Linked DNA regions of Arabidopsis thaliana. The protein of the gene in region 1 interacts with the protein of each later gene in a biochemical or structural test. Each region holds a gene or a part of one and is shown in the gene's direction. Other genes may lie near its edges. The genes, in order: CML37 and PEN3.

Region 1 (14,634 bases):
TGGTTCTTCCTCTTCTGAGAGAACTGCATCACACAGTTTTTGTAATTTAATACCCAACTGATCTCAAACTGTTTTTGCTCAAAAGACGTCACACTTACCAGTAATCTCTTCACCCGCCTGTGCCCCAGCAATACCAATACAGGAGTACAGAGAGTCCTCGTCCACTCTTAATTGATTATAAGCTAGGTATATGTCCTCGATCGAAGCAGCTTCATACAATGAAACAAGTTCTTTAATGCATGACAGTTCCTAAAACAACCAAAACCACCCCATCAGAAGAAGTCAAGTCAGAAATGAAACATTTAGGAATACACAAGTGAGTATTACCTTCCTCGGAACAGAGGAGGCCTGCAAGTGAGCTAATAGATTAAGCCAATAGGCATTGGACTTGAGTTCAGCTTCATGTCTCATTAGAAGAGTTCGCTTTGCCTGTCGATTTTACAAACAACACTACTTTCCATTAACAAAGAGAAGGAGCTAAAAAGAGCTAAGCTGAGAGGCAAAAGAGACAACTAACCCTATCCAACTCCCTAGGGGCAATTTGGTTGCTATGCAAACCTCTAAGAACACTCTTACAGGCATCAACCGCTTTGTATACCTGGAAAGAGTATTGAGAAACTTGGTGAAGAAAACTGTTAATGAAAGAGCAGCACATTTACTGTAAGCAAAATACAAAGACTGCATACCTTGCCGGGAGTTGAAGTCACAGATATCACATACCACCCGAGATTCAGCCTATCAAATAGGTTTAGCTCAAATGATACGTCATATGTCAGTCCAAGAGAATCTCTTACTGTCGTGAAAAGCCTGCAATGACGCAAAAAAATAAATTCAGCCATGGGTGGCAGAATATATATATATACATGTAAAATAATAGGTAGATAGCAAGTAGACAGGCTCCGGTCTGAAGCAAAAATACAATCAGAGGTCTAAAAAGGCATTCTCTTAAAATTCAAACGTTTGTTGACACACGATGACGTTCATTTTCTAAGCAGTGCTTCATTCTGGCAGTTAGTTCCTCAACAAATTCTGGACATGAACCAAACCAGAGAGTACTATAGCAGCAGAAAAAAGAACTCTGCTTTCGAATAATATGACACCAGTACACAGTAAGTGTACCTTGAGTTTATGATTTCGGCCAGAAGACCCATTGTAACTCCAAAGAAAAGAGGGTGGGCACGAAGCTTCTTTTGCAACTCCCTGTCTCCTCCCTCTAGCAATTGTTCCTCCGATTTCAAAAGTCCATCTGCAATTTCAGTGTGCATGCATGAAATGTTATAAGCTACTTTATGTCAGAGCTAACACTAAACTTCATTACTACTACTGAAGATAAATATCTGGTTTATGAGACAAGCTCAGAACCAGACCTATACACAGTTTCCACGAGGTTGAAAACCACGACATCATATGACTCCTAATTTTAAGTCTGTTCCGTTAAGGTGTAACTTACCATGAGCAACAGGAAGTTTGCTAACAGACTGAAAAAGGTCATCCCCGTCAACTGTAAAGCCCCATCGATTTGGCGCTGGTCCCGCAATGTATGCACATGCTCTCTCATCAGTATCCTTCAAGAATACCTATCCAGAGATAAAGATGTCAATATATCCTGCTTGAATCACATATCTAAGGGGATGGGGAAACCAAAGAGAGGAACAAGAAATTCCATGCATTTACTGCTTTGTTCCGAACCTGTTGAAATTGCAAGCCAGCTGTAGGTTGGCGAAACAAGATAGGCTCAGATCCTGGTGGTTTTGCAGAATCATGGCTAGCTTTAACTGTACCAAGGTAATCAAGGATGCAACGCTCGATTTCCTCCTCTGAAAAGTCCCCCACAATGCTTACCTGAAGGAAACCAGAGAAACTTTTATGAAAATCAAATAAAATTAATATAAGTCAAGCAAACATCAGCTTTTAAGTTGGAGATCTCACCTCCATATTGTCCCCAACAAAATGACTCATGACCGCATCTTTCACAGATTCTAGATTCAAGCTCTGTAGTGACTTAGGTGTCGGCTCAACAAAACGCTCATCACCGTTCAGCATAGCGATCATAAGTTTATGAGCAGTCGCACGCTCCAAGCTTTTAGGAATTGATCGAAAATACGAAAGATATAGCTGCCTTGCTCGATCAAATGCATCTTCCAACCAGACACTACGCTGCATACCAGAGAACCACCACTCTTTCTCAGCAAAAGATTAGAGAAAAAAATAAAAAAATAAATAAAGGAAAACGAACAAGCAGGTAAAAGAAAACATTATTGACCAGCAAATCAATAGATCAAGAGTCTGAAATGTTGCACAGCATTCTATATCTTATTTGTTATAATCTAATACCTCAAGCACCATGTGAAGCAGCTGAAAAGCCGCTTGCATTCCATTGTCTCTCAGAGTAAACCGGAATTCCATGGCAATGAACTCCTCAGTTGACTCCAACGAACAGTTTATCAAATGATTTACACAGAACAGCTCCACCTAAACGGAATTTAAATGGCTTTCAGATTAGTTCATATCCTTTTTTAGTTTTAGATTAAAAATCACAATACAGTTTTCAACAGCTTCACTTGCCTGCTCCCTTGAAAAGTCTCCAACTCGACCACCCTCGCTGAGTGTACGAACACCAACAACCACAGCTCCTTTGGAATCAGATGTTTCAGCAGCTCGTCCACCACCAACAATGAGCCGCATGACACCTGCCCGGGATTCGGTCGTAGATTTCTATATTGAAAAGGGAAATGTCAAGGGAAGGGTCTTTATTTCTCCATACAAGATGGTACAGTAAAAACTGAAGTATCAATCAACACCAAATAAAATGTTTTCTGCTAGAACGAAGCATATTTTCTTAAGTTGTTAAGAACTGCAATTTGATAAGTAGACAGCAAACAACAATATAAATATTGAGGAATATGTCTAATAATGTAGAAAGAAAATCACTACGGAGATCCTTACATAGTAAGGAAGAGCAAAAAGATGAAAGACGTACCTTGTAATTTACAGCTATCCCATTGGATAACCGAAGCTGAGTGATCCCAGTCTCTTTGTCATGCAATTTGGTTAAACCTGACCCAGGAATAGGGACAAAACATGGATTTCTCTGCAAGGTTAACTCTTTCAATTGTGATTGAGAGATCAATTCTTTTGGCACCTCGAGCTGCAAGGATGAAGGCAAAAAGCTGATTCAGAACTAGCCTTTGGTTTATACTTGAATAAAGCGAAGATAGAGTTACAAAAGAAAGAACACCTCAGGCTCAGCTTCAATGGGTGCTAATAATCCTGATTTGACAGACTCTATTATTTCATCAGGAGATATATTGAAATCACTCTCACCAACCCCATCAACATGCACCTTAGTGGGAACACAAGCAACTATTGCTGCGGGAAGAGGGGCAGTGGGTCTTCCGAAATCAGAAATAAATTCTAGCACCTTGGCGCCAACAGTGTTTACCTGGACAAGGAATTATCAAAACAGAAGAAAAGCAACCAACTCAAATATAAATATTGAAATAGTATGATATGCAGGAAGTGTTAAGAATCCGGTTGTTATTGATGACTTGATGTGCGTTTTGTTAATCACCGAGAATTTTGAAATCAACAGTTATCTTTCGCGTCACATTCAACAAGAAAAGCGGAACTGCGGAACTGTGAAACCTACCTCTTCAAGAGTAACAGTTCCAGCTACAGCAACCAAGGTCTCATGTCCTTGCGTCTGATCCATAACCGTGTGGCTTAGTGCATCACTTTCCATGATAAAATCCAGGTTATCAACAGAAGACACATTATCTATCATAGCTGCAAGATGTTCACTATCTTTTAGAAGAGCATCCATGTAACGTGTAAGTTCACCCCTGGTGACACCAAATTCTTTAAGTCTTCGAACCTGCACGTAGAATTATACGTTAAAGCTGAATAAATTCTCAGCAGTAAAGAAAAAGTGTCAATGGCTCTAACAGTCTTTTAGCTTAACCAATCCATTATTCATCACGTCCAAATGATCAATCCAACGAAAGAGAGAAAAATAGTATTTACAATGAAGATAAATGAGAAGAAACAATAAGCAAACCTCTTGGACAGCAACTTTGACTGCATTTTGCCAATTTTGGGGCTCTGCGGTGACAGTAAGAGTCGTAACAGTGCATCCTTCCCTTCCCGAATCACTATGGTCCAGTTCAACAGACGTAAATGGTGGGTTTGAACTCTGAAAGGTACAAAAATAACATCATCAAAATTCACTGACAGTATTGAGTCTAGTTATAATAGACATAATTCCTAAAACCTTCAATATAATATAGCTACGTCCATGAACTGAAAAAGAGTTTTTACTCAGATAGTGCACCTCGAGATTATTGAAAACACAGTTATATTATTTGAACAAACCCATCAAAGAGCCGTTTTTGTAATTTCACTGAGATTTGAGATTCATTAATCTATAAAAGCAAAATGTACTGTGCAAGAAAATGAGAACAAATTTTCTCTTCTTGAGTAAAATTGAGAACAAATGTATTCGGAAAGACGACATCCTAACACCCTCATACCTTGTATCTCGTATTAATTCGAAAATGTAGAGCAGAGAGAAATATTCTTTTCATCAGAACATTTCGCAGGTCTCCAAATGTCTGAACCTTGCTAACAGGTATCTGCAGGAAGACAAAGGAAATTGTAAACATTTCATAATATAAACTACCACCCTATGTTGCATGTATCATATGAAGCTTTCTGAAAAAGGGAAGAATTAAAAGATTGTAACAAGAACCTTGCAAAACATGTTGATTGCAAAATTCTGAAGAAGCTCGTGCTTAAATATCTGTGGAGGCTTTAGATCAACACTTGTTCCAGGAAGCGACCAATTATGCTCAACCGGGGGACGAATTGCATGTCTTTCTCTTTTAATCATCTTAGACTGATCAGCAGTATTTGTTTTCTCATTTGAAAAGGTACCACCAAGACCAGCTGGCAGCTTTGGAACGAGAAAATTAGCCATGGCACCGAAGGCACCAGGACTAGGAGAACTGGGTGTTGATTCATTATCCAAACCATTTTTTCCAAACACAGCCTGTGGAAGAATGATTGTCTGGTCAAGATAGACTACGCAGTAGAAATTCAAAAGAAATGTCAGAGAAAGGTAAGAGACTATCTTACTTCAATATTGTGGACTATCCGAGGTATGTTGTCAATATCTCCCACAATATATAGAGTGGCATTGGCTGGGAAGTACCATCGCTCATGAAATTTTCTAATTTTGTCAACATCCCACTTCTTAATCTGCTCTTCCAATCCAATAGGGAACCTCCTACCCAGCTTGTTCTCAGAATGTAGATGTTGCAACAACTAGTCTCACCAAATAAAGTACAATGTGTCATTGGCTATCCACCAAAAATTGGGCAACACAAAAGGCTGTTGTGCTGACATACAGAAAACTATTCCTCATGATTGATTACCTGGCAGTCAACACGATACTCAATTGTATTCATCATCTGAAGTTCTGAAAGTATGGCCCGCCTTTCTTTCTCAACTCGAGAAGAGAGAAATTTTGGGTGAAAGGCTATCTGTAATCATTTGAGAAATAAGAATTTGTCTGCCAAATGAATCATAATCCATGAAACATAAGAGGGATTTTGACTCATGGTACAGAAAAAACCTCGGGGCATATCTAATTGGAAGACATCGTCTTAATTGCAAAATTATACCTCATTTAAGGCATCGAGCACAGATGGGAAGAGGTCATCCTCAGAGTCCTGAAAAGGTTGAGAACTATAATTAATATGAAGCTAGCCAACTCTATCATTTAGCAAGCCAGTAAGGACATGTTATCGAAATTATCACAATAAGCCAACCAATCAACAGACTTTAAGGTCTATAAACAAATAAAGATCAACACTAAACCTAGTATTTTTGCTCATAAGACACATAATACTCCATGTGCAACATATAGATATAGACTATAAGCACCATATTTGTTAAAGTAAATACGAGGCAATAAAAACCTGTGAATTGAACTAACCAAGAAAAAGATACATCACTAAATACGCCAATAGGTGTAGAAGAGAACAAACCTTCGTGTGGGTTGGAGAATGAATATGAAATACTGTATGGTGGAAATCGGTGTAGGCATTAGAGCGGGCACCTGTACCAAGAAGTTTCTCACGTTTCTTGCTCCCAAGGAAAGCAACATGTTCTATCATATGAGCAATCCCTTGCTCATCTTCTTCCTCATCAATCGATCCTACATGAACTTCCATGTGTGCCTCAAATCTAGCATTGAAAACATTTCCAAACTCAAATAAGATATAGCAGGAAGACCTTAAAGGATTCCACCATATGGTTAAGCTATAACCATTTTGCTTACTGGTTTTCAAGGAATGATATATTGTCATTAAGAGTATCACAAGTAGACCAACTTCGAGCATTCTACTCAATTTACCTGTTCGGTGGAACTTTGTTTGGCAAAATAAGATATCGAAGCCCATTTTTCAATTGACCCCGGTGCAACTTTGGATGAGAAGGAAGTTCACAACCAAGAAACGCTTCTAGCTCTGCACTATCAATCTCAGGAGGCAATAAGTCGAGATCTTGTCTCTCCGCAACAATACCATCAGGCCAAGCTGTACCAGCAGCATGTGGCTCATCTGGTCCAAGAGTTGCATTCACAATCTGAGAATGTTTCCTCTGCACATGTTGAGTCAGTTAAACAGAGATAAATCCAAACAAGCACAAGACAAGAACATAGAAAGTAAATGATGTAGCTTACTTACCAGAGAAGATGTCAAACTCGACCTCGACAAACTAAATGCAGTTCTATCCACAAAGGCACTAGGTAATGCTCTTCTGATTCCAGCTTGATTCCTTTTACAAGTAAGACAGAAATTACGTCCTTGAGAAAGTGATATCCCGGTAGCTTCTTTTCCCGAAACAATGTTCCTCTTTAAACGTCCCTTATGCGAATTTGGCTGCGCCGCCCTTTAACACCACAAAATTCAACACAAAATTTAACAAATCGATTTAACTGAACTCAACAAAATTTTGAACCAAGAACTAATTTCAGTTTCCATGAACACGAAGCTGAAAACTGATACGTACCAAAGACCATTATAGGGAATTAAAGACGGAGCTTCGACGCGAACACGATGAGGAGTGAGACGCGGCGACGATGGATTAAACCTAACTTTATTCCGGCTATCTTTTAGATATCGAGAGCGGCGGCTATCTCCGGAGTTAAAGGGAGCTAAGATCGGAGAGAACTTAACACCGGTGAAAATGGAAGAGGACGATGAAGCCATCGTCGGCTATTGAGGACAAAGGAGAGGTGGAGGAGAAAAAGAGAGACGGAAACTATTAAAGAACAAAAAAAAAAGAAGAGGGAGATGAGGTTAGCTACGTTTATTGTCTTCTCCTTCCTGATTTTTATTTTGTTAAACTCTTTTTATATGAGTATATTAATGTTTCTTTCTTTTTTAATACAAACTATATATTTTAATTCCAAAATCAAACCTTCTATTTGTAGCAAAGGGTTTGAAGTCAAAATCTCAATATTTTGGAAAGATTTTCACCCAGAAGTTTTAACCGGTTGATCATGCGGTAGTTAATGGCAAGTTTTTTCTGGATTTTTCTGGTTATATTGGTAGATTTAAGACTAAACCTTCACTGGAAATATGTTTCTTGGGTTAATCGTTCGACTATGGAGTATGAGTCGGACATGAAAACATTGTTTATCTGCTGGCAACTTTGAACTGATCGGTTCAATTAGGTTTAGGTATTTCGGTTAAGGGCTTAGATAGCAATCTAAAAAAAAAATTGATGTAATTTTGTGAAATTTGGTTTAAATACGTTGCGAAAATTATAATTTTTTAAAAAAATGATCGAAAAGTTAATAATTTTATGCATTCATATATTTGCTTATGTTAAGTGTTACATGACCCCTAAATTTTTAAAGGATTCATGCCTAATTATAAGAATATTGATTTCGATAGTTAGAAGAAAAGCTATTTGTATGATCTCTATTTTTTCTTGTACATATAGTAGACAAGAAAATTGTCTTTCATTCAAACTCGTATAGGTCTCGTTGTATCTCGAATATTAAGTTAATTAATGTTTAGATTCTGTTATTTTGGTTTAATCATTTGAATGTGATTAGCTTTCGTCAGATAATGTGTGTTTTGTGGTGATGTGCAATAGTGGTTACAAGATCGATTGTTTAGGATTTCAAGTGTTTGTCACTCTAAACTAGGCTTTCTATACTATTTTCACTTTGGCGATCATGAGTTTTTCATAGTAAGTTTATTTGTGAGATTTGATACCAACAATTTAAACTATTTGCTCAGAAAGTTTAATTAATGTGAATTAAGTAAGGTCACGATATGCCAGCACCGCATCATGGAAATTCATTTCATCAAGAATTGAAGATATAGATTAAAGTCTAACATTTTGTTGATATTAGGATCAAATTAAGTATTTATAAGGAGATTTTATGGGGGGAAACAGAGATGTTTTTGTTAAATAATCTTTGAGCTCGATAATTACGGGGAGAAGTTTCAAAGAATAACTGAATTGTTTGAACAATATATGCTGGGCCGAGTTAAACCGTCGAGCTTAGAAAGCCGAACTATACATCAGTAAAAGCTTTTACATGAAGTTGGCATTTGAGATGCAAAAAGATAAAAATAAAACTCTCTTTTGGTCCATATAGAAATATATTTTCTTATGGAAAGGGAATTCAGGACCGGGAATGTAACAGTTAGATGAAACTTCATCACATGAAATATTTTATTTTTAATTCAAGTTTCTAGGAACAGAGGAAGTCATACCACTTTCGTGGAGCATATCTGGACGGTTATATGAAACTTCATGACAGTTTAACAATTTAAAAGACCAAAACCACGTGTCCGCACATCGTATACTCAATCAAAGTCAAAGAGAAGGTTTGCTACTTTTCTTAATCTAGTCGTCGATATGACATCACATTTCACACAATACGTGAGAAAAACTTACCATCACATTATTACGAAAACACCCCTAGTCGTGGTCAACTTGACCTTTCCCCACAAACACTCATTGCGGAGGAAACTTCCCGGCCACCGCCGCGCAACCGCCTCTAGCTTTAAATAATAACACCAAAATATTCAAACCCGTGTTTTAACCGTCGAACAATCAAGAATCTCTCCACCATTACACGCATTCACATACTCATCTATATATAATCTACCACTTCTTGAAAAGAATTTGCATCAGAAATCCATTTCCCAAATCTTCTAGATTCATATTCAAATCAAGAAATGACTCTCGCTAAGAACCAAAAATCATCATTGTCACGACTATACAAGAAAGTTTCCTCGAAGAGATCAGAATCGTCAAGAAACCTTGAAGACGAATCAAGAACGAGCAGTAATAGTAGCGGAAGCAGCTCGTTAAACGTTAACGAGCTAAGAACCGTTTTTGACTATATGGATGCAAACTCAGACGGGAAAATCTCCGGTGAAGAGCTACAAAGCTGCGTTAGTCTCTTAGGCGGCGCGTTATCGTCACGTGAGGTGGAGGAAGTGGTGAAGACATCAGACGTTGACGGAGACGGGTTTATAGATTTTGAGGAGTTTTTGAAGCTTATGGAAGGGGAAGATGGTAGTGATGAAGAAAGGAGGAAGGAGTTGAAAGAAGCGTTTGGGATGTATGTTATGGAGGGGGAAGAGTTTATTACGGCGGCGAGTTTACGGAGGACGTTGAGTCGACTCGGCGAGTCGTGTACGGTTGATGCTTGTAAGGTTATGATTCGTGGGTTTGATCAGAATGACGATGGAGTTCTCAGCTTTGACGAGTTTGTTTTGATGATGCGTTGAGATGATATATATGGGATTGGGACATCTTCCTTCCCTCCTCAAAATTTTATTCATTCAATTATTATTTTTGTGAGAGATTCTTATTCCTTTGTATATTTGTGTCTCATCTAATCTATTTGTATTATTTAACACACTTCATAATAAACGTGTCTTGTTTTGATATTCTGAATTTGTCAAAACATACAAAATGTGTTTATATGTCTCCCCATAACTGAGAATACCCAATTAAGGGGACTAAAATCTAAAACTGCGAGTCGTAAAAGAGGCCAGTCATCACCACCATTTGCCGCTCGACCAATGTCACTAGGTGAGTGAGAAACAACCGATAACGCGCGTATATTCTCACATCACTCATTTTTTGGTAGAGGTCGGTAAAACATTTCATATCGTTTGACGTTTGTAAATCTACAGTTTTATTATGCTAGAACAATGATATTGATTCACATTATTGGATGTTTCTATAATTACAGTTACAAACAGATACATAATTATTGCACCAATTCACTTTTTCTATTCAATAAGAGATAATATTGTTTGTAAACCTTTTAACTAAAACGATCCGCTTCGAAACTTGTTTCTTAATGTCTAAAACAATATTACACTTCACAATTTTGCCATCCGTAGAAGTCTCTAGTGTAAAAAATTCTGAATTTGCATGGTTCCGGGGAAATTTTATACAATCTAGAAAATTGGAATAAAATTTTCATAAAATTATTTTTTTGGTCGGATAAAGTTTTCATAGAAGAACACATATTAAATGGATTTATCATCACATAGTAGTAGATAAACAATTTAAATTATGTAATACAAATCAAAATGAATTAATCTATTTGCCACATATAGTGAATTTGATTTCTATTCAAAGGGGAAAATACAAATTCATTTTTAATATGTAGTAGATATTTGTTTCTCAAGTAATTAATATTCATATTTAAAAAATCATTGCATATGTTAAACAAATCTACAAAAAAATTCAATGGTCATTCCATAATTATAAATAATACGGATATTTCACAAATTCACTTTTTGTTTGGAACCCAGAAAAAAGATTCATAAAACCAGGCAATAGAAATTTCATCTGAAGAAAAGAAAAAGTAAAGCTATTAAAAATCAAAGCCACGAGAAGAAAGTAGAAAAAGTTACAGTCTCTGTCTATCAAAATCCCAACGGTAACTGAAAATCGCCGGAACCGAATCTGCGGCGAGCCAAAACTTGTGGATCTTTTAATGAAAACTTGAAGATTCCTCTTTCCACGGTTGCTTCTAGGGTTTTCTCTTCGATTCACCACATCGTCATGAACCAAATCTCTTTCTGGTGCCTTTCTTTACTCCTTACGGTGGTGATTGCTGCAGAAGAGACTCCTATCACTCGTATAGCCTTCGGATCATGCGCTAATCAAAGTGCTCCACAGGTAAATCAATCGTACAACCCCTACTTGGCTCTGGATTCAGTGTTTTAAGACTGCTCTGTTTGGCTGGTGTTTAAGTGAGCTGATTATGGTTTTTGTTTAATTAGCCGATGTTCTCTTAGATGATATAAGCTTGTGTTGCATACTATGTTAAACATTGTATTTTTGTTACATTTTAGCCGATATGGGATGCGATAAACAAGTTTGATCCGCAACTGTTTATTTGGTTGGGTGATAACATCTACGGAGATATAAGAAGACCACTTACAGTCATTGGGAAAGAGAGAACTTTTGGGCCATGGAGGAATTCACCGAGGTTTGTACCTTCTTCAGAGGAAGAAATGAAACTAAGATACGCTAAAGCCAAAGCTAATCCTGGATATTCTCGTATTCAGAGAAAAGCTAAGGTTATTGGTACATGGGATGATCATGATTACGGATTGAATGACGCTGGAAAAGAGTTTGATCGTAAAGTCATTAACCAAAAACTTATGCTTGATTTCTTGAATGAGCCTCTTGATAGTCCTAGGAGAAAGCAAGCTGGTGTTTATGCTTCTTATACTTATGGTCCGCCTAATCGGAAAGTTAAGGTATTAACAGAAACTCTTGTCTTCTTTGGTAGTTTTGTTAAGTTTAGAATGAAGAGCTTATATGTGATTTAACACAGTTGTGTATCTCCTTCAGGTTATAGTTTTAGATACTAGATATCATAGAGACCCTTTAAGAAGTGACGGGAGCATATTGGGTGATACGCAGTGGGACTGGCTCGAAAATGAATTGAGCGGTCCCCGAAGCGAAATCACTATCATAGGATCCTCTGTTCAGGTATCTGCAAATTAGACTTTTGTGTCCTGTTCCAGTTTGGCCATGGACTTAAACTTGATGAAGCCTGAGTGTCTTATTCCATCTAGAACTGTTGTCTCTTAACTTGTCCAGGTGATATCAAATCTTTCTGCTACCACTGGACCTCTCTTTTATATGGAATCATGGGGTCGTTTTCCAAAGGAAAGGAAACGTCTTTTTAAACTGATAGCAGATACTAAGGTATGGGATTGTTGACAGTAATGTTTCCAACTGTCAGTTTTCTTCTTTCCTCGTCCCCATAATTCTTCGTTGCTTTGACATTACAGAGAGATGGAGTTATATTCATCAGTGGAGATGTACATTTTGGAGAAATCACGAGATATGATTGTTCTGTTGGGTACCCATTATATGATGTCACCTCCAGTGGTCTAGTACAATCTGTTGAGAAAGTTGTCCCTCGTCCCTTGCGTTCCATAGTTAGGCTTCTTTTTTGGTATACTCCAAGCACGATGAGAGTTATCAATGATAACTGCAAATTCAAATCTTGCACATACGGTATTATTCTCAATTTGATTCCTTTTACGTTTTCTTCTGATAAACTGTGGAAAGATTTATTGACAAGCCAAGACACAGTGAGTCTACTTTAAGTTCCAACTTTAGCTCTATAGCTCTACTGTCACTAACCTAGGACGGAATATAGTAGACTGTAACTGTTGTGAGTTGATTTAACAGAGCAGCGATGTACTCTTTTGTATGATTACATTGGTTACAATATCTTAAACTTACGTGCAGGACAACAAAATTTTGGAGCAATATCGATAGATTGGAATGCAAATCCGGTTACCATAAAGCTCGAGATCAGAGATGTTAACGGAGACACTGTACTAGGCACGAATGTTTCATTATCTGAACTCCAACCAGGAGGCTCGAATTCTTTAAAAGATACAACAACTAAGGGAAAGTCTCAACGATATTGCACACTCGAAATTGAATTACCAGGAACGACCAGATACCGATTGGCAGTTCTCATCTACTTCACCATTGCTGGTATGTCATTCTTCCTCACTGTGGTTGGTCATGATGAAAGAATGTTGCGGAGTACTGATATATACGTTGTTTGATTGGGTTCGACAGTCTTGGCAATGGCGATATTAGGACTTATCATTGGAGCTGTATTGGCCATAACAGCATGCGTTTATAAATGCAAGGTCGATTGATTGTTGATGACATTAATCAACTTTTTTTGGTCCAACAAAAGTGTCTTTATGACTTATAATCTGTATTAGTTGGATTATTCAGGGATTACAATTCGGATGTAGCTTATAATGTTAAAAATTGTTGAACACATGGATTTTGATCTTGTGATGGGAATTCTAAGCTTGAGCTGTTATTAATTAAACTTCTTTGAAAGAGAATGTTTGTGAACACAAGTTAAATTCTAGACTACATGCAATAGCATTATAGTTTCCAGTTTCTTTTTTCTTTTATTATTGTAAACCAAGGTTTATCGTTTATTACATATGAAGGTTTTCACTGTCTATTTGTAATAAATTAAACAAATTAAAGTTTTTATAATTTCAGTAATGATCTCAAAACGGATACTAGCTTTGATTGGTGAACAAAAACAAAGTATATTGGCTTTGATTGGTGAACAAAAACAAAGTATTACAATTTGTACCGCTTTTATTTCTGTTAATTACAAAAGCTTTTTTAAAGCGTTACAAAAAGTTTTACTCTCAGCTTTATTACTATATAGCTTTCTCGTACAACTATTTTTTTACAACTTTGCAGTATTCCGAAAAAGTTTTTATCACCGTTAACAGTTAAGATTTGAACAGCTGTATGTTACCGATAGGATCCACTATACTTCCCAAATCTGATGTTAATTAGTAATATGAGGTTAATTTTTTACTATTTTATTGAAAAAGCGATATTCTTGCAATTGACCCATAATTGAGTCAGCTTAATTTCCATTTATTTTTTTTTTGTTTTTTATTTATTTTTTTAGCTTCCGCTTTCTGCAGTATGATCTATTTAAAATAAAATAAAAAAGGGAAAAGTGGGAAATCGATGCGTCAATCTTAGGTCTCCGAGGTCTCAATTATTTCATCTTCTTCGGTGATTTCTGGGGAAGATGCTCTGGATTTGGGAAAGCAACTCTGTCGATGGATGAATCTCTTTTCGAAACTTCTGGGTGATATGCTCAATGTGAGTGAAATTGTTCTTCGAATTTGTTGAATTTCGTCCATTGTGTGAAATTGCAGACGCGTCTTGTAGTTTGATTGTGAAACTTAATTTTGTAGGCTTCTTTGAGTTACTTCGTTGGAATTTTGGAGTTAGGCTTTTTACATGTTTAATCTTTAATCGAGTGGTTGGTAGAATAAGCGGATCTCACTATAATGCTTTTTGATCATCGCAAGCCTCATGAGATTGTATACAACTTGAAGAAGCTTTGATTGATTTGCATTTGCAGGTTGATTATCTGTGGAAAATGATGGTCTTCTTAGCATGATCAAGGTGTCTGACTTGTGAAGTTTGTTAGATGACGGATGATGATTTCTGAGAAACCGTTGGGAGAAGAATCTATACGGCAGGATCTGG
Region 2 (18,603 bases), on another chromosome or scaffold:
AAAAGCAACAAAGCTATGGAAAGCTTAACTTTGGATTTGCAAGTTAAGTATTTTTAAAGCAAGGGAAGCATTGGAGAAGATCTTGTTGATATGTCAACCATAGCTTGAACATTGTGGAGCCCAAATGAAAAGGTATAAGTTGGCTGCAAAAGATACAAATGAAAACTGTGGAAAAATTCTTGAAGACTGAGATAAGTACACACTCAAAATGAGTTTTTCAATTCTAAGACTATGTGGGAACAGCGAGAACTTCAGTTGTGTGGAAAATTGGGAACTTGGCAAAGTGAATTTGTCTGACCTTCAGGAAAATGAGAAGAAGAAGAAGCATGTATGAAAAATACACTTAAGGAACTTGAGGAGAAGAGTGAGGATTTGTAGGAAAGAGTTGGAGAAGCGGAGACTGGAAGCATGAAAGTCGAGGCAAAGAAGGTTGCTTTAGAAAACAGAAAGCTCAGAGCAATGAAGGTTTTTTCTCTTGAAAAACTCGATAACTTGTCAAAGGTATATGAAAGCTTGGTGGATACAAGTGAAGCGTTTTTAAAGCAAGGCAAGGATTGGAGAAGGTCTTGTTGATATGTCAACCATAGCTTGAACATTGTGGAGCCCAAATTAAAAGTTATAAGTTGGCTGCAAAATATACAAGTGAAAAGTAAGGAAAAATTCTTGAAGACTGAGATAAGTAAACACCCAAAATGAGTTTGTCCATTCTAAGACTGTGTAGAGACAGCGAGAACTTCATTTGCGCGGAAAAGTCGGGAACTTGGCAAGGTAAATGAGAATAAACTGAAGGAACTTGAGGAGAAGAATGAGGATCTGTAGGAAAGAGTTAGAGAAGCAGAAACTGGAAGCATGAAATTTAAAGGAAGCTTGTTGGTCAACGAAGTCAAGCCAAAGAACATTGCTTTAGAAAACTCAGAGCAATGTAGGTTTGTTCTCTTGAAAAAATCGATGAGTCGTCCTCAAAGGTAAATGAAAACTTGGAGTATAAACTGCAGACTGAAGAAGACCGAGAGCTTAATTGACAAAGAAACCAACCTATAGAGCATTACTAAAGAAGCTGAGAAGAGCTCAGGAAAATGAAATTTGCTGGCTGAAGGAATGAATTAGACATTGGTTAATACACAAAATGCAGAGCACTAATCAAAGATTAGTTGAGAAAATAGCCAAACGCAGAGTTTAAGAGGAAGTCAATGGAGTCTTCTTATCATAACAACATTGAGGAGTTGTCACTAAAACTTCTTATTCCGGGTATTTAAATGGCTTCTTCCTCCGCAACTTCTCACTTTCCAGAACACAAAGACTTATAAACAAACCATCCTTCACGTATGTGTTGAATTGAAATGTGAATGTGACTTCATCAACACAATGACTTCAAAACCCAACGACGGTCTTCCTTTCTTTTCTCACCAATAAAATGTAGAAAAGAAACAAAGTACACAAGAAAGACTTTTCATTTAACGATATCTCCACTAGTAGTAGCTATAACTAAATGGGGTCATCGTTATTGACTTTGAATAAGAAATGTTCAAACACTTCAATTATTACATAATATCTTTGCAATAAAATAACAAACGTTAAAGAGCCGTCGCATTATTAGCACAAAAAATATCTTTTGTAAATAAAAAAACAACGTAAAAGAGCCGTCACATTTGAATAATAAAACCCATCTTGCACATAAAAAACACGACTTTTTATTATTTTTGATTATTTCAACAAAGTATGAATAGTCAACATAAAGAAAAGTCCGCCTTGATGTTCCTTCCTCACTCCCTATTTATCCATTTTCTAATCCCACCCTCTTCTCTTCATTCATCATCTTCCTCCTCTCTCTCTTCTCTGTATCACCCAACTAAATCCTCACGGGATTAGATCCAAAGTCTCAAACTTTGATCCAAAAACACAAACTTTGTTCAAAAGACATAAACTTTGAGCCAAAGTCACAAGCTTTCTTGGTGAACGATGGATTACAATCCAAATCTTCCTCCTTTAGGAGGAGGTGGTGTTAGTATGAGAAGAAGCATAAGTCGAAGTGTAAGCAGAGCAAGTAGGAACATTGAAGATATCTTCTCATCTGGTTCAAGAAGAACACAATCAGTCAACGACGATGAAGAAGCTCTTAAATGGGCTGCCATTGAGAAGCTACCAACTTACAGTCGTCTCCGAACCACTCTCATGAACGCTGTAGTCGAAGACGATGTTTACGGTAACCAGCTCATGAGCAAGGAGGTTGATGTAACCAAGCTTGATGGTGAAGATCGTCAGAAGTTTATTGACATGGTTTTCAAAGTAGCTGAGCAAGATAATGAAAGGATCTTGACTAAGCTAAGAAACAGGATCGATAGAGTTGGTATCAAACTTCCAACTGTTGAAGTCAGGTACGAGCATTTGACGATTAAAGCTGATTGTTACACTGGTAATAGATCTCTTCCTACACTTTTGAATGTTGTGAGGAACATGGGAGAGTCTGCTTTAGGTATGATTGGTATTCAATTTGCTAAGAAAGCTCAGCTTACGATTCTTAAAGATATCTCTGGGGTTATTAAACCTGGAAGGATGACACTTTTGTTGGGTCCTCCTTCTTCTGGTAAGACCACTCTTTTGTTGGCTTTAGCTGGGAAACTTGATAAATCTCTACAAGTCAGTGGTGATATTACTTACAATGGTTACCAACTCGATGAGTTTGTTCCGAGAAAGACCTCTGCTTACATTAGTCAGAACGATCTTCATGTTGGTATCATGACTGTTAAGGAGACTCTTGACTTCTCTGCTAGGTGTCAAGGTGTTGGTACTCGTTATGGTAAGTAAAAGATTCAATCTTTAATCATATCTTTTTTTCAAGATTCAGTTTTGTTGAATGGTTTTGATTCTTGTTGTTGTAGATCTGTTGAATGAGCTTGCGAGGAGAGAAAAGGACGCTGGTATATTCCCGGAAGCCGATGTTGATCTCTTCATGAAAGCTTCTGCTGCTCAAGGTGTTAAGAACAGTCTCGTCACTGATTATACTCTCAAAGTGAGTCCAACTCTCGCCTTAACTTAGCTCATCTTGTTCTTTTTGTTTCAAGAAGAGTGTTTGTTACTAGGCAAGCAACTCATAAAATCGAATCGAACTAAATCGTTTTTTATAAACCGAAACTGAACCGGAATTTATTCATTAACCGTTTGGTTTCATTATTTTAGAATATTGATATAAGTTTTCATATTCTAAAAATGTTCTAGACAATCTTTTCTCATGTTCATAAAGTTTTGAGTCTTTTTTTGTATAATACTAACTTTGGCCGTGTAACAGATTTTGGGGCTTGACATTTGCAAAGACACAATAGTTGGAGATGACATGATGAGAGGTATATCTGGAGGTCAGAAGAAACGTGTCACAACTGGTGAGATGATTGTTGGACCTACTAAGACACTCTTCATGGACGAAATATCCACTGGTCTTGACAGTTCCACTACTTTCCAAATCGTCAAGTGTCTGCAACAAATCGTTCACCTCAATGAAGCCACGGTGCTCATGTCTCTCCTCCAGCCTGCTCCTGAGACTTTTGATTTATTCGATGATATCATCTTGGTGTCGGAAGGTCAGATCGTGTACCAAGGACCGAGAGACAACATTCTTGAGTTCTTTGAGAGCTTTGGGTTCAAGTGTCCTGAGAGAAAAGGAACAGCTGATTTCCTGCAAGAGGTTACTTCCAAGAAAGATCAAGAACAGTACTGGGTGAACCCGAACAGACCTTATCACTACATTCCGGTTTCAGAGTTTGCCAGTAGATACAAGAGTTTCCATGTTGGGACGAAGATGTCTAACGAACTTGCAGTACCGTTCGATAAGTCTCGCGGCCACAAAGCAGCTCTTGTGTTCGATAAGTACTCTGTCTCAAAGAGGGAGCTTCTCAAGAGCTGTTGGGACAAAGAGTGGCTGCTTATGCAGCGAAACGCGTTCTTCTATGTTTTCAAGACTGTCCAGATCGTCATCATTGCTGCAATCACGTCTACACTCTTCCTGAGAACCGAAATGAACACAAGAAACGAGGGTGATGCTAATCTCTACATAGGAGCATTGCTATTTGGAATGATCATCAACATGTTTAATGGGTTTGCGGAGATGGCTATGATGGTTTCAAGACTCCCTGTGTTCTACAAACAGAGGGATCTCTTGTTTTATCCATCCTGGACCTTCTCACTTCCCACTTTCTTGCTTGGGATTCCAAGCTCAATATTAGAATCGACGGCTTGGATGGTGGTGACTTATTACTCCATTGGTTTTGCACCTGACGCCAGCCGCTTCTTCAAGCAGTTTCTTCTGGTGTTTCTGATTCAACAAATGGCTGCATCCCTCTTTAGGTTGATTGCTTCTGTGTGCAGAACCATGATGATTGCTAATACTGGTGGTGCTCTCACTCTACTTCTTGTGTTCTTGCTCGGAGGCTTCCTTCTTCCGAAAGGCAAGATTCCTGACTGGTGGGGTTGGGCTTACTGGGTATCTCCTCTCACCTATGCTTTCAACGGTCTAGTAGTCAATGAAATGTTTGCTCCCAGATGGATGAACAAAATGGTAAGTGGCTTACTTCTTTATTCTGCATTTTACAAACAAATATCATAGTAAAGCCGCCTCTGAGTCATATTTTTTTCAAATTACAGGCTTCTTCTAACAGCACAATAAAGCTTGGAACTATGGTGCTTAATACTTGGGATGTCTACCATCAAAAGAACTGGTACTGGATTTCAGTTGGAGCCTTGCTTTGTTTCACAGCCCTCTTCAACATTCTATTCACCTTGGCACTTACCTATCTCAACCGTAAGTTCTCGTGTTGTATCACCCGTTTTACCAAATCTAAAAACAATAGACTACTAATAATGTACCTTTGAAACTACAGCTCTTGGGAAGAAGGCAGGTTTACTTCCAGAAGAAGAAAATGAAGACGCTGATCAGGGGAAAGATCCAATGCGTAGATCTTTGTCTACTGCAGATGGGAACAGAAGTAAGTAAACACATTTCTTAATCTGCTTAGATGTTTTGCTTTTCTTGTACTCTTGTCTCATTCTGCTCCCTGCTATCAGGAGGAGAGGTCGCAATGGGGAGAATGAGTAGGGACTCTGCGGCTGAAGCATCAGGTGGTGCAGGCAATAAGAAAGGAATGGTTCTTCCTTTCACTCCTTTAGCTATGTCCTTTGACGACGTCAAATACTTTGTTGACATGCCTGGGGTAAGTAACTATCTTCACTTAAAATCTTTACACTAAATTAAATATGAATTACTTAAACTAAATAGATATCTTTTGATGGTATAGGAAATGAGAGACCAAGGAGTTACAGAAACAAGACTCCAACTGCTTAAAGGTGTGACTGGTGCATTTAGGCCAGGAGTTTTGACTGCGCTTATGGGAGTGAGTGGTGCCGGTAAGACTACGCTTATGGACGTTTTGGCCGGAAGGAAAACAGGTGGATACATTGAAGGAGATGTGAGAATATCAGGATTCCCAAAGGTTCAAGAAACATTTGCTAGAATCTCAGGATATTGTGAGCAGACCGATATTCACTCCCCGCAAGTAACAGTCAGAGAATCTCTGATTTTCTCTGCTTTCCTTCGTCTTCCTAAAGAAGTCGGCAAAGATGAAAAAATGATGTTTGTGGATCAAGTGATGGAATTGGTAGAGCTGGACAGTCTTAGGGACTCCATTGTTGGTTTACCGGGTGTCACGGGGCTTTCCACGGAGCAGAGAAAGAGACTGACAATCGCGGTGGAGCTTGTAGCCAACCCTTCCATCATCTTTATGGATGAGCCAACTTCAGGGCTAGACGCTAGAGCAGCGGCTATTGTGATGAGGGCGGTAAGGAACACAGTGGACACTGGAAGAACCGTGGTCTGCACCATTCATCAGCCTAGCATTGATATCTTTGAAGCATTTGATGAATTGATGCTGATGAAGAGAGGAGGACAAGTGATTTACGCGGGTCCATTGGGTCAAAACTCTCACAAGGTGGTTGAGTACTTTGAATCTTTCCCCGGAGTGTCCAAGATTCCAGAAAAGTATAACCCGGCCACTTGGATGCTCGAAGCTAGCTCACTCGCCGCTGAGCTAAAGCTTAGTGTTGACTTTGCTGAGTTATACAATCAATCAGCATTGCACCAGTAAGTTTAAGTTCCTTCTTTTCCATGGCTCATTGCATCTGATTGATTGTTTAAGTAATAGTACTAATGAATACATAACAAAATGCAGGCGAAACAAAGCGTTGGTAAAAGAACTAAGTGTACCACCAGCAGGAGCATCAGATCTTTACTTTGCTACACAATTCTCACAAAACACATGGGGACAGTTCAAATCATGCTTATGGAAACAATGGTGGACGTATTGGAGATCTCCAGACTACAATCTTGTCCGTTTCATCTTCACATTGGCAACATCTCTCTTGATTGGTACAGTCTTCTGGCAAATCGGAGGTAACAGGTCGAACGCAGGGGATCTAACAATGGTGATAGGAGCATTGTATGCCGCGATTATCTTCGTGGGAATCAACAACTGTTCAACAGTACAACCGATGGTTGCAGTGGAAAGAACAGTGTTCTACAGAGAAAGAGCAGCAGGAATGTACTCAGCCATGCCATATGCCATCTCTCAAGTCACTTGTGAGCTTCCCTATGTCCTTATTCAAACCGTTTACTACTCACTCATCGTCTACGCCATGGTTGGTTTCGAATGGAAAGCCGAAAAGTTCTTCTGGTTCGTCTTCGTTAGCTACTTCTCATTCCTCTACTGGACTTACTACGGCATGATGACTGTTTCCCTCACACCAAACCAACAAGTCGCTTCGATTTTCGCCTCAGCGTTTTACGGTATTTTCAACCTCTTCTCTGGTTTCTTCATTCCAAGACCCAAAATCCCAAAATGGTGGATTTGGTACTACTGGATCTGCCCTGTTGCATGGACCGTGTATGGATTGATAGTGTCGCAGTACGGTGATGTGGAGACACGTATCCAAGTCCTTGGTGGTGCTCCTGACTTAACCGTCAAGCAATACATTGAGGACCATTATGGTTTCCAATCTGACTTTATGGGACCAGTGGCGGCTGTACTCATCGCTTTCACCGTCTTCTTCGCCTTCATCTTCGCCTTCTGCATCAGAACTCTCAACTTCCAGACCAGATAAAACCATCTCTCAAACAACAAAGTCTCTTTCTTTTTTTGTATCCTCTGTGTTGTTTATATGCACTATAAGCTTTGTATGTTCTAAATATGTATTGTAGTGTCATAACGAAATTTTTTTGAATATTTTTATTTATTGTCTTATAGATGATGACGAATCGGAATCATGTAATATAATTCCACTTTTTTTTGTGTTTATATCCACAAATCCCTCAAAGTCCATTTTTGTTTGTTTCTTGAGACTTTTTATTTTACGATACTTCCAATAAGAGGAAGAAGACAGAAAAAAAGTGTGATCATATCCATTATCAAAGAAGACAAAATCAATGGAGGATAAGTTAATGTTCTTCATGATTAAATCTTGATAATTGTATAACATGGTTCTGTAAAAATTATCACAACACAACACCAATATCATAAAGTTTAATGAGAAATCTCAATAAATCAGTTTTTCTAAATATAGAAAAGTCTATCTTACAACGACAAAACGATTTTGAATTTTGGATTAAATCACCTAAAATTTCCTTAAATCCTACCAAAAGTCCTCCCAATCAAATTTCCATTTAATCATACCCAAATGTTTAGGCCAATACACCACCCTATATCTTGATCATTGCATAATATGGTTTGGATTCCTAAATTGATCCGTTCAAAATATTTAGACCCTTGTCATCTTATATAGCATATGATATAACCCTTTCTTCTTACTGGGCCTCGATGAATTATTTATGAAACCTGGCCCATTAGGAATTTGAAGAAAAAAATATTTTAGGGGCGTTCCGAGAATTGAACTCGGGACCTCTCGCACCCTAAGCGAGAATCATACCACTAGACCAAACGCCCGTTGTTGAACATATGTTGGATAACAATATATATATATTATTATATAATTTCAATGATTTCTTATTTTGGCCAAATTATTCTAGTTAATGCAAATTTATAATAAAAATATCATCAAAAATATTTATTAGAATATTAAATCGAATCAAATGTAAAACAATGTTAACCATCTGATTTGAACCTACGTTTGTAATTCTCACTCTATATCATCAAAATAACTTTATTTAGATAACACTTCAACTCGTTAATTATCCATTATGTAGATCAAATAACTTAACTATTATATGAAATCATACATGACCAAGTTCTTTTTACACTAGGTCTATATAGAAAACAATGTGAGATTTAGTATTATGCAAAAAATAAATTGAGTCTCTTTATACATCATCAATAGAATAACATCTATATGATAAAAAAAATTGTATGAACATTTACCAATATATTAAATCATCATTGATACGTTAAAAATAATATTAAATTTTGACTTGAACATTCACTTTGACGTCTTACTATTTTAAAATCTCATTAATACTAGTATTTATTTTTGTTATAGAATATCATCAAATGATCTTAATATATAGATAGATGATCAACTCATTATCCATTATGTAAACGAAATAACTTAATCTTCATATAGAAACATACGAGTAAATTTTATTTTTAATTTAACATACATATATGAGAAAGACGTGAGATTGTATATACTGCAAAAAATAAATTGAATCCCTTTGTACATCATCAATAGGATAACAAGTATATGATAATAATTTTGTCGAAATGCTTACCCACATATTAAATCGTCATTGATATGAATAATGTTAATTATTGGATTTTAATATACACTTGGAATTCTTATTATTAGTAGTTAAAAATCCCACTAGCACGGATCTTATTTGTTATACGCAAAATATAGTAAAAAAAGAAGCTACATATTTAGATTCATGTAAAAATAATAACCACATAAGACAAATTTATGTAGTAGAAAAGGTTGAAACAATTTTGTACAACTTTTAAGAATTGTCAATATAAACTAAAGCTTCATATTAGAAAAAATTGTTTTTATTTTCCAAAACAAAACCAAATTTTCATTAGAATATATGCTGTAATTAGAAAGTGTCATTGTATTCTTGCTTTTTCTAATTCAGTCTTCTTATTTTTGCAGGAGTTCACTAACAATAGTGATCACAAATCAACCAACATCAAAATTACACTTATCAAATAGAACATGAATCTAAAAAAAGATAAGAATACTAACAAAATCGAAATAAATGAGAACTAAAGCTCCTCACATCCTTCTTCTCTGCACATGTCAAGAATATGACGTATATTGGCGGTGGCGTTGATACACCAATTTGAAACCAACCCTAAACTTAAAAAAAGTTTAAACGAGATGAACACCTCTCTATTTAGGAGCTCGTTAATATCTTGCTTAGACGTCACATGAGATTGATGGTACATGTCATGGAGTAAAATAAAATCTTCTCTTCTCTGTGTCTCTGATGAGGTCATGGAGTATGGGTAGCTTTATGATAAAATAGGAACTTGTTTCAGAGTATTTAGAAGTAAGTTATTTCTATTTTCTATCATGAAAACATTTCCCAATTTTGAATATCTTTTATATACTCTCATGGCTGTGTTTATCAAGATCATCAAAGGCGTTTTCTTTTTCCCCACCAAAGGCTCCTTCATCACCACCAAAGGTACCATCAAGATCAAATCAAATTCAAATGGTATCAATGGCTCCTTCTTTCACCTCACTACTAATGACTTTTTCTTCTTCACCACCAAAAGCCTCTCCTTGCCTCTCCTTGCCACCAAAAGCCTCTCCTCGGCTCTCCTCGCCACCAAAAGCCTCTCCTTGGCTCTCCTCACCACCAAAGCCGAATCGTTTGCTCTACTTACCACTATCACCAATAAAGTCAGTTATGTGTTTCAAAACAAACGAGGAAGGGGAAATAATAGACTTCTTTGATATATTTATTGACCATTTGGTCTCAAAGAATCATCACATCCTTACCTGAAGAGAGAGCGTGAAGTATGGTTATTGGGTTGAGTTGGCTTTAGAAGCACTGTTTGATATTGAAGTTGAGTTTGAGTCTAGTATGGATGAAGATAAGATGAAAAGTAAAAGTTGATTTTTCAAAATGAAAAGTGCTCCGTTTGGTAATATATATATCTTGGAGAAAGAGATAGTCTATATGGAGCGTGAAGAACTTTTAGAAAACATTTCTTATTTCAATCTTGTGGAGCAAAACAAGAAGAATGGTCTTCCTCCTCCTCAAGAAAGAACATGGAAGTCACTAGAGCATAAAGGAGTCATTCTTCCATTGCCTTACCAAAAACACAACGTTCCCCTTATCTACGATAAAAAACTCTTAAGAATTTCCAATATAAACTAAAACTTCATACTAAAATAAGATTTGTTTTTTCTTTCAAACGTAATAAAGAACACAAATATGTCAAAAAAAAACAATCGTGATATGTTGATAAGAAAATATCAAAACTATGGTAAATTTTAAGATTATTTTTATAGTTTATTTTTTTTTGATAATTTCATAAATTCTCAACTTCATTTTTTCTTTTATTTTCTTCGTTTTAAAATAAATTCTCAGATTTTATTTAGGGCTCAAAAGATCCAAGTATGAGGAGTATTATTTACATAAGTTATATTAAGCGGTTTAGTACGAATTTTTCGTGCCAAATTGTTCGCCTTAACATTTGTATAATTCAAAATACCGAATTAAACCAAATGTTTTTCTGATTCGTTAAGATATTTGTACCAAAAAAAAGAAATAACCATTTTATTTAATAATCACTAAAAAAACATAAGCTTAAACTTATTATTATAAAAAATCTTTAATTAAAAACCTAATCTACTATAAATAGGAAAATTCAATTTTTCTTGACCAAAAGAAAGTATAAAAATACATAAAATGGCAAGAAATCTCATATGTTTTAATCCCGAAAGTATAGGTGATAGGATGATACCCTAATTTTGACTGTAAGAAATTAGGGGAAATCCATTTTGTTACCAAAATCTCTTATCATGTTTCAATTACTTTAAATGCATGAATACATGCCAAAGATTTTGTTATTAACAACACAAACACTTGATTATATATCTCCTTGGTATAATATACAGAACAGACACAATCTTAGGCTCCTCCTTCTCTCGCTCTCTTCCCTCTGTTGCTCGGAAAGCTTTGGCCTTTTTGGTTTTCTTATGGCTAATTCTCTTCTCAAAACTATTCGTATCTGAGAGAGATTGAGATAATAAATATAGAGAGAGATCCAAACCAGAAGCAATCTTTTTTTGTTTGTCTCTCTGTGAAGATTCGTATCATTTTTCTCCGGCAAACTAACGGCGGCGATCCACTCTTCTCTATAGCTTCTATTATGTTGGTTTTATCTTCTTCTTTGGAAGAAATGAACAAGTTTGGTTTTTTCGCTTTCATGAATGTGATCCGGTCTATATAAGGTTTGTATATATAATCAAAATCTAGTTTTTGATTTTTGTTTCGATTTTTTGGCGATAGATCTGGTTTGTGTTTGTTGTTTAAGAGAGAGGGAAGTTTTTGAATTTGTGATTTTAAACTTGGCTTGTTTTCAGGGTACTTAGAGTTTGGTGAAGCTTGAATCTAAGAGATGAAGAGGGTTAGAGAAGAGGTTTACGTTGAACCACAAATGCGAGGACCTACTGTTTCCTCTCGAGGAGAAACGTAAGCTGTCTCTCTCTGTTGTCAATTCAAATCGTATTCGTTTTGAATTGTGTGTTTTTTATAAGGAAGTCAAAAGTGTGTAGGTTGATAGAGATTCTTATTGCTTGTTTTTGCTTGTGGGGATTTGAAATTTTCATGCTTTGGTTTGTTTTCTAGGTTGAGTTTTTATTTTTGAGGTCTATGATTGTTCTTAAGTTAGTTATCCTTATAGGCTAAAACATAATTACTGTATAAGTGTAATGAATTTGATTTTATGACCTAAATGCGTATTAATATATGTTGGAGTAATGCAGAAATGGTAAAGATTGATGGAGGATATATGTATCGAAATTGTGTTATCAAATTTGCAGACTGATAGATATTCTTATTGTCTTTCTCTTCTGTGGGGATTTAAATTTCCATGCTCTGGTTTGTTTTCTAGGTTGAGTTGAGTTTTCTCTTTGAGGTCTATAATTGTTCGTGGTTTAGTTATCCTCCTAGGCTTAAGCAAAATTATTGTAGCTTCGTAGGGGAAAAGGAATTTAATATTTCTACGTAGGTGCGAAAAGCAACTTAATATATGTTCGTGTAATGCAGAAATGGTAGGCCTTCAACGATTAGTGGCGGAGGAACAACGGGAGGGCTAACAACAGTTGATGCTTTGACATATCTTAAAGCTGTGAAGGATATGTTTCAAGACAACAAAGAGAAATATGAGACTTTCCTTGGAGTCATGAAGGACTTCAAAGCTCAGAGGTAAATGTCTTCTTCTCTCCTCCGTTTGCTGTGTGTCTTCTTACAGCTGGAAATGTTCTAAATTTTTTTGCGTCTCATGCTGGTTGTAGAGTTGACACTAATGGCGTCATAGCAAGAGTAAAAGATTTGTTCAAGGGCTATGACGACTTACTTTTGGGTTTTAATACCTTCTTACCTAAGGGGTACAAAATTACCCTTCAGCCTGAGGATGAGAAACCTAAGAAGCCAGTGGATTTCCAAGTAGCTATCGAATTTGTCAACAGGATTAAGGTATGTATCTGATGTATTTATCCAGATACCAAATTTAGTCATGATCTAAACAGTTATTCCTCCAGGCGCGATTTGGAGGTGATGACCGTGCATATAAAAAATTTCTAGACATCTTGAACATGTATAGAAAGGAAACCAAGTCCATCAACGAGGTCTATCAAGAGGTATATTTACAGTAAATGGGTATAGTGTTGATTTGCCTACGATTCTGCCTCACTCTTTTTTCATATATATAGCCAGATTTTCTTGTGATTTGTTTTCTGATGATCATCAATTCTACAGGTTACTCTGTTGTTCCAGGACCATGAAGATCTGCTCGGGGAGTTTGTTCATTTCTTACCAGATTTTCGAGGATCAGTTTCTGTTAATGACCCTCTTTTCCAGAGGAACACAATACCGCGTGATAGAAATTCTACATTTCCTGGCATGCATCCAAAGCATTTTGAGAAGGTTTGCCTTAATTCATTCTTTCTAAAAGATTCACATATCTTTACAACGTAGTTTATGATGTTTCTAATTGATGTTCGTGGTAGAAAGCCTGCATTGTGACCATGCATGCTTTGTATGGAATGTAATAACATCCTTTCCCTAATTGTTCTAAGAGTGATAAATTAAAAGCAAGATATATATAGGAATTAAGATAGTTTACAGAATAGATGAAAGAATATATGTTTAAGGAACTTGATGATTCTGAGTTTGGGTGAGATGTTGATATGGACTCTTTCCTACCACAGAAAATAAAACGGAGTAGGCATGATGAGTATACTGAACTCTCTGATCAACGAGAGGATGGTGATGAGAACCTTGTGGCCTACTCTGCTGGTAATTCTCTGGGAAGTGAGTATTTGAATCACCTGTAGCATTATTTATTTGCATTGTTTAATTATTATTGCTTGGCTCAGCGCCTAGTGAGAGCATGATAATACAAATAGATGTCTTCTATTTTTCAGTGATTTTGATATGAAAGGGAAATTAGTATATATATCTACGTGACATATTGCCATCTTCTATACTGTGGTTATTGTCAATCTTGTCTCTGCTTATCGACTGGTCAGTAGTTACGTGGTGCTAAGGTCCAACTATGTTAATGTTTGCAGAATCCCTTGCTAATCAAGGTCAATGGCCAGGATATCCTAAGGTAGAGGACACCGAGGGGATTCAAATTTATGAAAGTAACGGGGGCCATGAAAGAGATCCAGACATCGGAAGTCAAAAAAATCTACTGTCTACAAACCATATGGCCAAGGCAATAAATGAACTGGATCTTACTGACTGTGCACAATGTACACCAAGTTATCGTCGCTTGCCAGATGATGTGAGCCCTTCTTAAACCTTAATGTTATTATCTACCATACTTCAATATAGCGTTGATTTTGTGCTCTATAATCATACGGTTGGCTTTCTCTTGTGTAGTATCCTATTCAGATTCCAAGCTACAGAAATTCACTTGGTGAAAAGGTGCTTAACGATCATTGGGTATCTGTCACATCGGGGAGTGAGGATTACTCATTCAAACACATGCGCAAAAATCAGTATGAAGAAAGCTTGTTTCGATGTGAGGATGATAGGTAAGACGTATATAGTATATATTAGGTTCCTGTATTTCTTTCTGTATTTAAACTGGAGTCTTTCAATAACATTGGGAGTTCATGATTGTTTTCTATTCAGTTCAGTCTTCCCTTCTAATTTCACTAAGTTGTCTGAAACTTTTGTGGATAATATTGTGGGGTTTCTCTGCTGACAATTGAATTCCCAAAGAAGTTCTACTTCCATCTGATCTATCAACTAACTGATATGGTTTCAGGTTTGAGTTGGACATGTTACTAGAGTCTGTAAGTGCAGCCATCAAGCGTGTGGAAAGTCTTCTGGAAAAGATTAACAACAATACAATCTCTATAGAGACACCAATTTGTATTAGAGAACACTTATCAGGCAAGTAGTTATCTTATCAAATCTGGCTGTGATAAATGTTACTATGTATGTTTATTATTCTTTTACTTTGCCTAATGACCTTATATGTGACTAATTGATAGAGCTGAACCTAAGATGCATTGAGCGGTTGTACGGGGATTATGGGCTTGATGTCATGGATTTTCTGAAGAAGAATTCTCATATCGCCTTACCTGTGATTCTAACACGCTTGAAGCAGAAACAAGAAGAATGGGCTAGGTGTCGCGCTGATTTCAGGAAAGTATGGGCTGAAGTATATGCTAAGAATCATCACAAATCACTCGATCATCGTAGTTTCTATTTCAAGCAGCAGGACTCCAAGAATTTAAGCACAAAAGGTAAGTTTTCTTTCAGGACTACAAGTTCATTTTGTTTTGACTTTGAACCTAATTTAGGTTAAAAACCCATTCATTTCGTTTGGCTACAGTTGAAGCTCCATAGAAGATTTTGTGGATATTTCATATTAGCAATTTCTTTCTCTACAGGGAGAGTTCTTAATATAAAAGCGTCACTGATTGTTAGAAGAAAAAAATGATGAAACAAAGAGAATATCTTGTATCATTTAAGTGCAAGTTTGTGTCGACTAAAGTTGGTTGTTATGTCCCAAATGCAGGTTTAGTGGCGGAGATTAAAGATATCAGTGAGAGAAAGCATAAAGAAGACCTGCTTCGTGCCATTGCTGTTGGAACTAAGCCCTCTTTCACCCCAGATGTGGAGTTCATTTATACTGATACAAAAGTTCATACTGACCTATATAAGCTAATCAAGTATTATTGTGAGGAAATATGTGCTACTGAACAGTCGGATAAAGTAATGAAGCTATGGGTAACCTTTTTGGAGCCCATGTTTGGCGTTCCTTCTAGGTCTGAAACTATTGAGACAATGAAAGATGTTGCAAAGATCGAAGACAACCAAGAGCACCATGATGCAAGTGAGGCAGTGAAGGAAAATACATGTGACGGTTCTATGGCCTCAAACCTTAAACCGTTAACACCTCCAAAAATGCCTAACAAAGAAAACCCAATGATACAAGGAAGCTCTTTTGCGCAAGATTTGCCAGTCAACACAGGAGAAAGCATTCAGCAAGATAAACTGCATGATGTTGCAGCTATAACTAATGAGGTAACCGTATTGTTTCTTCCTGAGTACCTTTGTTCTTGACCTGAGGCCGTATTCACTTTTCACTGAGTAAATATAGTCAAAGGTTCATAAATCTGGACTAGTGGTGGTAGAGCGTATTTTACTGTTGGGCAATAAATGAAAGTTGCTTAAGTTTTCATAATATTCCTGTATGTGAAAAAAGATATTTCCTTGATATTTGTTTTTGTGGTTCTACAGGATAGCCAGCCTTCCAAACTGGTGTCAACCAGAAACGATTTGATAATGGAGGGTGTAGAGAATCGTAGTAGGGTCAGTGATGTATCAATGGGAGGGCATAAGGTCGAGCGAGAAGAGGGTGAATTATCCCCCACTGAAAGTTGCGAGCAAGAAAATTTCGAGGTTTATAAAGAGAATGGGCTCGAGCCTGTGCAGAAACTACCAGATAATGAAATAAGTAATACAGACCGAGAACCCAAAGAGGGTGCATGTGGTACTGAAGCTGTAACAAGGAGCAATGCCCTCCCTGAAGATGATGATAATAAAATAACTCAAAAGTTATCAGAAGGGGATGAAAATGCCTCGAAATTTATTGTCTCAGCAAGCAAGTTTGGTGGCCAAGTTTCTTCCGATGAAGAGCATAAAGGAGCTGAGAGTGAAAATGAGGCTGGAGGGATGGTTAATTCCAACGAGGGTGAAGATGGATCCTTTTTCACATTTTCAGAACGGTATCTGCAACCTGTAAAGCCCCTTGCAAAGCATGTGCCTGGGACACTGCAAGCAAGTGAATGCGACACCCGGAATGATTCTCGAGTTTTCTATGGGAATGATTCACTCTATGTGCTTTTTAGGCTTCATCAAGTAAGTGCTACGAAACAACCTTCTCATGTTCCTCAAATGTCAATTGTCTCAGTCCAAACCGCTAATTCTGCTGATTTTCCAGATGTTGTACGAGAGAATACAATCAGCAAAGATACATTCAGAGAGGAAATGGAAAGCTCCAGATAGCACATCTACTGATTCTTATACCAGGTGGTTTATTTTCTAAGCATCATTGGTACTTTTTAATTGAAAAAATATTATTTCCTAACTGATATTTGAAAGCTTAGGTTCATGGAAGCCCTTTACAATTTACTTGATGGCTCTAGCGACAATACAAAGTTTGAAGATGAATGTCGAGCTATTATCGGAGCACAATCATATGTTCTCTTCACATTGGACAAGCTAGTTCAAAAGTTTGTTAAGCATGTAAGCTTCCATTTTACCTTGTTATCGTCTTGACTCTGCTTCTGTTCTCTCTCCTTTATTTTTGTTTGCTCCGCACTAATCATTTAAGTGGCTTGGACATGCTTCAGCTTCACGCAGTCGCAGCTGATGAGACAGACACCAAGCTTCTGCAGCTATATGCATACGAGAACTACAGAAAACCAGGAAGATTCTTTGATATAGTGTACCATGAGAATGCTCGAGCCCTTCTCCATGATCAGAACATATACAGGATTGAATATGTATGCTTCTCTTGATATGTGTGGATACCTGTTTATATGTTCCCATATACTAATCTGTATTTGCAAATTTCTGTGCAGTCATCTGCCCAAACCCGTCTCGGAATTCAACTTATGAACAGCTGGAATGATCAGCCTGAAGTTACAGCTGTAACAGTGGAACCAGGTTTTGCTAATTATCTGCAGAATGACTTTCTTTCGTTTGTCAGTGATGAAGAGAAACCCGGACTATTTCTGAAAAGGTGAATGAAGCAATGATTAGAGCATAACCTTTTTTCGTCTTCAGTTGTGGTAGTACAGTTAGTAATCACCTTAGCATACTCTTTTCAGGAACAAGGCAAAATTAAGTGGTCCGGGTGAAGAATCTCTAGGGATGTCACGTGCCTTGGAAGGATTGAACATTATCAATGAGGTTGAATGTAAGATAGCTTGCAGTTCTTTCAAGGTAAAATACTTTCTTGTGAATCTCTTGCACTGATAATCTTTTCTCTTTTCACATGTATATATGATTGATGAGAGTTTACAATCTTCATTAGGTCAAGTATGAACCACACACAGCAGATCTTTTATATAGAAGAAAGCAGAAGAAAGCAACACTGAATCCAACTGGACCTGAAAATGTTAAAACCTCTGATAGTAGTGAACTCTCGAGAAAGAAACGAATATCGCGCTTTCACATGAGTCTTAACCGCAGACTTGTCGCCTTGCCTTAACTCAAGAACGCCGTAAGTAACCCTCTTGTCTTTTATTTGCCTGTGGTGATCAATACTGCAAATCATCAATAATCTCTAACTCACGATAAATTGTGCAGGTGTGAAGTTCTTTGCTGAGAATGAGATATGCAAGAATGAGTAGTAGTAGAGAGAGACTAGAGAATAACTGTCTTTGACAAAGATTCTTGCATCATTTTAGGCTCAAAGAGATTCACATGGCAACAACCATAGTTTTTATCTTCTACAGTCTACACTGCAGCTGGAGCCGCCAGTTTTGCTGTATAGTGTTAGAATATCTTTTTTTTTTTTAAGGATGATGCTAAAATTGGATATTTTTAATTCATTCATTGAACAATTATTGAATTTTCCTTCTAATGTTAAATTCTCTTTCAAATTAATAATCTCTTTAATCACATGTTTTATTTATTTATTTTGGTTTATCCATTTGGTTATTTATCTTTAATCACATTTGAGTTTGATTATATAATATGATTTTAAGAGAATATGAATATATATTGACTCTTTTATCACAGGTGTCACGTGACTCACGTGAGGCTGTGTACGGAAAACCTTCTTATCCTCTCAGAGTCTCTTATATTAGGATCGCTATCTACTGCTTCACTGAAATTGTCCT

What was found.
Region 2: the proteins of CML37 (region 1) and PEN3 form a complex in vitro, tested with the Arabidopsis thaliana proteins (one study listed by BioGRID).

Annotation. Positions count from the first base shown.
Region 1 is NC_003076.8:16,937,945-16,952,578, reverse strand, and holds CML37 (calmodulin like 37), read left to right. Parts: upstream 1-8,758; 5' UTR 8,759-9,263; coding exon 9,264-9,821; 3' UTR 9,822-10,132; downstream 10,133-14,634. Other genes in the region: SPP (Insulinase (Peptidase family M16) family protein), read right to left, coding at 1-23, 99-249, 328-429, 518-598, 687-807, 1,120-1,246, 1,451-1,577, 1,690-1,842 and 16 more; AT5G42370 (Calcineurin-like metallo-phosphoesterase superfamily protein), read left to right, coding at 11,116-11,232, 11,409-11,819, 11,914-12,054, 12,166-12,273, 12,360-12,665, 12,885-13,080, 13,168-13,250; AT5G42360 (Galactose oxidase/kelch repeat superfamily protein), read left to right, coding at 14,583-14,634. UniProt on the Arabidopsis thaliana protein: Potential calcium sensor that binds calcium in vitro.
Region 2 is NC_003070.9:22,032,702-22,051,304, forward strand, and holds PEN3 (ABC-2 and Plant PDR ABC-type transporter family protein), read left to right. Parts: upstream 1-1,721; 5' UTR 1,722-1,959; coding exon 1,960-2,797; intron 2,798-2,879; coding exon 2,880-3,010; intron 3,011-3,286; coding exon 3,287-4,549; intron 4,550-4,635; coding exon 4,636-4,792; intron 4,793-4,871; coding exon 4,872-4,976; intron 4,977-5,055; coding exon 5,056-5,201; intron 5,202-5,285; coding exon 5,286-6,127; intron 6,128-6,215; coding exon 6,216-7,143; 3' UTR 7,144-7,425; downstream 7,426-18,603. Other genes in the region: AT1G59865 (uncharacterized protein), read right to left, coding at 299-596; AT1G59885 (uncharacterized protein), read left to right, coding at 9,607-9,897, 10,016-10,114; SNL5 (SIN3-like 5), read left to right, coding at 11,625-11,698, 12,275-12,433, 12,523-12,703, 12,769-12,867, 12,986-13,153, 13,438-13,540, 13,801-14,018, 14,117-14,271 and 10 more. UniProt on the Arabidopsis thaliana protein: Together with ABCG37, regulates auxin homeostasis and responses by playing a dual role in coumarin (e.g. esculin) and in the auxin precursor indole 3-butyric acid (IBA) efflux transport, thus influencing cotyledons, roots and root hairs development.